2 linked regions of the Callithrix jacchus genome follow. The protein of the gene in region 1 purifies or fractionates together with the protein of each later gene. This does not show direct contact. Links are inferred from orthologs where the notes say so. Each region holds a gene or a part of one and is shown on either strand. Other genes may lie near its edges.

Region 1 (3,650 bases):
GCTTTCCTTACACCTTGGTGTTTGGATTTCTGTGGATTTAATTCATCAAGGGTATGGCGTGCCCTTGGCGTTTCAGCAACCAAGAATGGTACTCTTTCAGGATGGGGACGAGTCAGGTGGTGATCATCAAGAAAAGAATCAGGTGGGCTTGTCGCCAAATAGAAATCTTTGGCTTCATTCATTATTCTCCTGTTATCTATTATGAGATGGTAAGCAACTGCCAAAGGGTCCTGGTGATTTCTGTTATAAAGACAGCTGAGAACTTCCTCTTCTGAGCATTCAAACTTTTCACATACTTCTTTTAAGGCTTCATCATCAATCATGGTTGAACTATATGATGGATCCTCAGGAAAGAGATATTTTGGAAGGTCCTGTTTAAACCATTCATGTTCCCTGAGAGAGAATGGCAAGATCAGGAGAAGAATTCTGAATAGAGCAGAGACTAAGAGTAATAGTTTGAGGAATTTAGATTATGAATTAATATATATTTATACCCATACTATATTATTATCACTTTTTCCACTGAAAGTTTCCTCTTCTGCTCACACTTCATCGTGTATGTTGAGGGAAATGCTCCAGTTTTCCTCCAGTTTTAAGACGGAGAATGTACCAGGCACGGTGGCTCATGCCTGTAATCCCACTTTGGGAGGCCGAGGCGGGTGGATCATGAGGTCAGGGGTTCAAGAGCAGCCTGGTCAACATAGTGAAACCTTGTCTCGACTAAAAATACAAAAATTAGCCAGGTATGGTGGTGCATGTCTATAATCCCGGCTACTCGGGAGGCTAAGGCAGGAGAATCACTTGAACCCGGCTAGCAGGAGTTTGCAGCCAACCAAGATTGCGCCACTCACTGCACTCCATCCTGGGCAATAAAGCGAGACTTCAACTCAAAAAAAAAAAAAAAAAAAGAGGGAGCATGCACTGATGTACCAACGGGGGAAAAAGTATGGGACAAATGACAATGACAAAGAACAGCTTATTTCCAGCTCAGAAAGATGACATATCTTAAGTAGCTTCATTATAATTCTCTTTTGATATAATGTTAAGTGCAAATAATATAACAAGAAAAATAGTAGACAACTATTGAGTACTTACTGTGTGCTAAGTTTTATGCTAAACACTTCCTATATGTTGTCTCCCCTTATTCTCAAAGCAATTATATGAAGATAATAGTATCTCCTTGTTTTAAATGAAGGAACTGAGGTTAAAAAAAAAAATCAAAGAACATGCTCAACATCACAAAGACAGTAAGTGACAGAACCAGAATTGTAACTCAGTTCTAAGTGACTGGAAAGGCCATGCCCTGAATGATTTCCTATTCTAATTCCCTAACTTCATATATTTAAGAATATGTTTGACCTGCACTATGTCAAACATTATGTTAAACTTAAAAAAAAAAAAAGGATCCAGAGAGGAAAAAAAACAAAAGAACAATTGTTATCTTCTGGGTTATGGGATTAAAGGTAATTTTTTTGATGTTTTTCTAAGTCTTTTTCAATTGTCATGTATTACATTTTAATTGGAAGAAAATAGGTAAAACACAAGTGAAAACATTTGTTACCTAGGTAGTTTTAAAATATAAATTTTAGAGAATGATGTATCCTTTCCCTTTGGTGGTAAAATCATGCCCTGACATGCATAGTCTCTTTTTTTAGCTAGTCTAAAACATGTGTATTAAGTGGAAAGTAATCAAGCTTCAAGTTCTACATATAATCTTTCCTTCTTCTTCATTACACTCATGCTGCTTTCCTATTTACTATTTCTAGATCCATATCAGATGACGATGAGTTCATGTCCTTTGTAGGGACATGGATGAACCTGGAAACCATCATTCTCAGCAAACTGACACAAGAGCAGAAAATCAAACACTGCATGTTCTCACTCACAGGCGGGTGTTGAACAATGAGAACACATGGACACAGGGAGGGGAGCACTACACACTGGGGTCTGTTGGGGGGAAATAGGGGAGGGACAGTGGGGGGTGGGGAGTTGGGGAGAGATAGCAGGGGGAGAAATGCCAGATATAGGTGAAGGGGAGGAAGGCAGCAAATCATACTGCCACATGTGTACCTATGTAACAATCTTGCATGTTCTTCACATGTACCCCAAAACCTAAAATGCAATTAAAAAAAATAAAAGAATAAAGTAAATTAAAAAAAAGACCAAAGAGGGCAAAATTTCCATACGGAAAAAAAAAAAGAAGAAACAAAGCTTGCAGTAAAATTGTTTAAGTCTTCATCAGAAATGGCTCACCCAAATTTGAGAAGAAAATTTGTCATCATTTTTGTCTTATTTAAAATAGTAGGTTGAACCAGATGAAACTGGTAATACTGACTTTTACCTACAAAACAGGAATTTTGCATATATTGAATGTATACTACTGGGAAAAATATGTCAATTAAGTTAAAATTTTCTCATTCCTTGGGATTAAAAAAAGGAAAAAATACAATAATTCATGAGATAGGAAATCAAATAGCAAACCACAAATGTACTACTGAAAAGTATTAATCCTAACACCAGGCATACTGGCTCACACCTGTAATCCCAACACTGGGAGGAAAGGTATGAGGACTTGAGGCCAGGAGTTCAAGATCAACCTGGGCAAAAATAGAGAGACCTTGTCACTACAAAAAAAAAAGGCAGCTATGCATGGTGGTGGATGCCATAGTCCCAGCTACTAGGGAGGCTAGGATGGAAGGATCACTTGGCCCAGCAGTTACAGGCTACAATGAGCTATGATCACACCACTGCACTCCAGCCTGGGTGACAGAGCAAGACCTTATGTCAAAAAAAGTAATAAATAAAAAGATGTGTACATATACACACACACACACACACACACACACACACACACACACGGCCTCACTATGTTATCCAGGCTGGTCTCAAACTCTTGAGCTCACATGATCCTCCTCCCTCAGCCTTCCAAAGTGCTCAGATTACAGGTGTGAGCCACTGCACCAGGCTTTCATTAGCTTGTTAATTTAAAAAGTAATATAATGTTCACTATTATATTGACATGTAATATTATAATATTTTAAATATATTACATATATGTAATTTCAAAACAAAATGTGTAAGTAAAAAGTGAAAGCCCCTCCCTCTTACTAATCTTACTTCCCTAAGGTAATCAGTTTACTATGTATTTTTAATACCAAAATAAAATGTGTCTATACACTCTATTTTTTCACATAAAAACAGGATTACACTATATTTTCTGTTCTGCACCTTTGTTTTTTCACTTAACTTTTATCATGGATACTATCAGATCTGATAACTTCCAAATTGCTTTATTACCTGATATCTTTAATTGTGGCCCTCTTCATGGGATCCACCTGCAGCATATGTTTCAAAAGGCTAATCACAGAAGGATTTAAATATTGAGGGGTATAGAAGATCCCATCACATATCTTCTTAAAAAGAGTTGGCACATGGTCATCATCAAATGGAAGGGTTCCACATAATAAAGCATAGAGAATAACCCCACTGCTCCATATATCTACCTCTGGGCCTGCATACAATCTGCAACAGGAAATATAACAATTGGATTAAAGAATCATTTTAACCTAAGAATCTGATAATCAAACATTTCAAATATGGATATTTCATAAAGAATTCATAAGCAGAATTTGGTTTCTATAGCCACTACT
Region 2 (3,722 bases), on another chromosome or scaffold:
ACCAGCCTGGCCAACATGGCAAAACCTCATCTCTACCAAAATTACAAAAATTAGCTGGGCATGGTGGCACACGCCTGTAATTCCAGCTACTTGGGAGGCTGAGGCAGGAGAATCACTTGAACCTGTAAGGTGGAGGATGCAGTGAGCTGAGACTGCACCACTGTACTCTAGCCTGGGCAACACAGTGAGACTCTGTCTCAAAGGGAAAAAACAGAAAAGAAAATCAACTGTAATCCCTTGCCCTGGAGTTGACTGCAGCTGATGTTTAGTTGCGATGTCTCTTGCGAACCCTGTTCTTTACACATCCCTCTCTTGTCCCGCTCCCTCCCCCCAACATTGAAATGTCATAGGTCTCTTCCCTCTTCACAGCACACACTCCCTGGACAGCCTGCAGGCTGAGGGCTGACTCAAAATCTCCACCTGCCTCCCGGAGAATACACCATGCAGGTATTTCAAACTCCGAGGCCCAGAATGAACTCAGCATCCTCCCCCAAACCCACTCCCCCTTTGGCACTACCTATCATTGTGAATGGCAGCAAAAGTTGCACCTTGTCCAAAGCAGAAAGTGGGGTTCACCTGCTCTGCCCCTCCCTGTGCCCCACATTCACAGCCCTCTTGGCTCTCTCATTCCTACCTCTTCACTTGCTGTCCAATCTGTCCCTCTTCCCTCCACAGCCTCCACCCAGGTCCAGGCCACCCTTATCTCTCACCTGGAGGGTTGCAACAGCCTCCCCACTGGTCGCTGGCTTCCATTCCTGCCCTCCTTCTATCCATTCTCCATGCTGCAGCCACAGGGGAGACTTCCCAAGCATAGATGGTAACAGCTTTTCTTGCTTAAAATGGCCTCCTGCTACCCTTAGAATAAGGCTGAAGCCCACATGAGCCTCATCTCAGCACTACCCCCTCCCTGATCTGGCTTTGCCATGCCCACTTTTTTTTTTTTTTTTTGAGACGAAGTCTCGCTCTGTTACCCAGGCTGGGTGCAGTGGCACAGTCTTGGCTCACTGCAACCTCCGCCTCCCAGGGTCAAGCAATTCTCCTGCCTCAGCCTCCCGAATAGCTGGGACTACAGGTGTGTGCCCTCACACCTGGATAATTTTTGTATTTTTAGTAGAGACAAGGTTTCACCATATTGGCCAGGCCGGTCTTGAACTCCTGACCTCAAGTGATCCGCCTGCCCCAGCTTCCCAAAGTTCTTAGATTACAGGTGTGAGCCACTGCCCAGCCTCAATACATGTTCTATCAATAAATGAACTGAATGATTCTTGACCCTGTCAGTCCAGTCTCCATATGAGTCTCCAACTAAAAAGACAGCTGACCCAATCACTCCCCTGCTTACAATCCATTAATTGCTGGCTCTCATGATAATTTTGTCAGAATGGCACCAAAGCTCTTCATACTTTGATCCCAACACAACTCTTACAGCTTTTTACCCCAGCAAGTTGCTCATCATTCTTGAAACAGACTGACCTCCCCCAACCCCCAGCAACTCCAATTCGAATTCAAGGTTCACTTATTCCAAGAAACTTTCTCCAACCCCTCTAAACAGAGAAAGCACCTCCTCTGTGCTCCACTGCACACGCCTCTTTTTAGTACACGGTGCAAGAATCATCTCCAAAAATATTTTAGAGAAACTGTTGTGTGCCAGGGATTAGAAGCAAATAATGTTTCACACCTTTTTTTTTCTTTCTGGGTGTGTGTATAGGGGCCAACAGGGGAGGTCAGTGTCGATGTTTAATATTCTATTCCTTGCTGAAATTACGAGTTCATGAAGTTTTATACATCTTTAAATTTCAGAGTCTAGCATAATGCCTACTATTTAGCCCATTATTATTTGTTGATCAAATACATTAATAAACTAAGAACAAAGTAAACAGGTACAATGATATAATTATCTGGATAATTTAAATGAGAGCTTTAAGCCCTCTTCCCCCACTTGCACCATGTCTGTCCTCAGACCCCTCAGCTTATATGAACAGGAGAATAAGTAGAATTATCTTAATTTTTCAGTTATCCACAAGGAGTATCTAGAAAGCAATATAGTGACTAACATACGTAGCAGTTCAGGCTCTGGCAAACAGCCTCTGAGTCATTCAGTGGATTTTTTCTGTGCGGGACACTGTCAGCCCTTCCAGACCAGGTCTTTTTAAAGATTCTTTGACTCACCATTGCCCCCCAGACTAATCAGAAAAGCTGTACAGAAAGCGTTTACAACGTTACCTGATACATATTAAGTGCCATAAAGTGCTGCTATTATGATGATGAGGCCTAACTCAGAAAAGTGAGGCTCTGAGATATAAAGTCACTTGTGTCAAGCCACACAGCAAATAAGTGCAGGGTCAGACGTGGAAGGCAAGGTCCTCGCCTCCAAATCCTACAGTTTCCATCACGAACTGTGCTACATTAAACAGCAATGGAACCCCAGGCCTAGTTCTAAAAACCAGCTCGGCCGTCACTCGCTCGGTAACCCCTGTCCAGTTACTTCGCTCCGGACCTCCGTTTTCTCCAACATAAAACAGGAAGGCTGGCTCAGGCAGCGGGTGGTCCAGGGCCTTTCCAGAACTAGCACTTCGAGAACACCGCGTGACTCTCACGACGACCGAGGGAGACCAGTAAGTGCTACCAGTAAGTGCTGCCCTCCGAGGACACAGAGACCAGGAGACGAGGAGTATCCAAGTTTATGTGATTCTCGGCCCGCCCCAACTCAAGGACAGGATGCACGTGGGAAAACGGACACCAGGGTCCTAGGTCTCCGCGCCCAGAACTGTGTGCTCACTTCACTCAGCTGCCTGCACCCGTCTCTCATGTCTGGCAGTCACCCACGTTCACCTACCGCAATCCCAGCCCAAGCCGCGCTCAAGACCACCGCCGCGTCAGAACAGCGCGCCTGCGCCACGAGCAATTCCCGCCCTTCTCGCCAATCGCAAAGTCGCGCTCACGGGGGCGGGGACGGGGGCGAGTTACGGGAGTTCTGGCCCCGCCCCACTCTAGACACGAGTGAGAGGTTTTCCGGAAGTTTAGCCAAAGAGAGAGAACCCGGCTTTCCCCAAGATCGTTGATTGGCCGGAGCTGACGGAAGTATTCTCTAGGAATTTGGGAGGTGTAACTCTATGATGATTTAAGTGTGATGTTTCCGCCCACTGCCAGGCCCCACCCACTCCTCCAGGAGACCCGCTTGCGACATTGTAACCATGGTGACACACTGGGCAATTGGTTTCTAATCTATCCTATGATTTTTATGGGCTTTCCATTTAAGTAATATAACGTTGTGAAACAGTTGGAGAAAGACACCTTTTTTACAGTGCCCAAGACAGTCTTTAAGACACGAATTCAAATTTCCATTCACAAAATAGTTTTTCGGTAGCTACCAGGTACAAGCTGCTGCTGTAGACACTGGGGACAGTGAGGAGAACCAAATAGACAAAATTCACTGCATCAGTGTGGCTTACGTTCTAGAGAGGACACAGGCAACAAACCAATACAGTGAAATTTAAGCAGGGCAGGGAATGGGAGCAAAGAACTCAGTAACCAAGAAAAACAGTATTTTAATACAATTGTTTTTTTAAAAAGCAAAATTGATGTAAAAAGTTCCTGGAGAATAAAATATCAAAATTTAAAGGACAATCTGTCAGTCAGATGGTGCTAAAGGCTATAAAGAAAAAAATAACTAGGGAAGGAGAATGGAGTAGGGGAGTTAAGTGTTAGTGATTTTTTTTTTTTTA

Evidence for each region. Proteins that work in one complex are often made in the same cells at the same time.
Region 2: the proteins of PRKAA1 (region 1) and PARS2 purify together in Homo sapiens (affinity purification with mass spectrometry; 3 studies listed by BioGRID and IntAct, with this or other methods). This does not show direct contact. The link is inferred for Callithrix jacchus from reciprocal best matches to the Homo sapiens genes PRKAA1 and PARS2.

What each region holds. Positions count from the first base shown.
Region 1 is NC_133503.1:164,809,440-164,813,089, reverse strand, and holds part of PRKAA1 (5'-AMP-activated protein kinase catalytic subunit alpha-1), read right to left. Parts: intron 3,523-3,650; coding exon 3,298-3,522; intron 394-3,297; coding exon 1-393. UniProt on the Homo sapiens protein: Catalytic subunit of AMP-activated protein kinase (AMPK), an energy sensor protein kinase that plays a key role in regulating cellular energy metabolism.
Region 2 is NC_133508.1:91,923,028-91,926,749, forward strand, and holds the start of PARS2 (putative proline--tRNA ligase, mitochondrial), read right to left. Parts: upstream 2,897-3,722; 5' UTR 2,221-2,896; intron 1-2,220. UniProt on the Homo sapiens protein: Mitochondrial aminoacyl-tRNA synthetase that catalyzes the specific attachment of the proline amino acid (aa) to the homologous transfer RNA (tRNA), further participating in protein synthesis.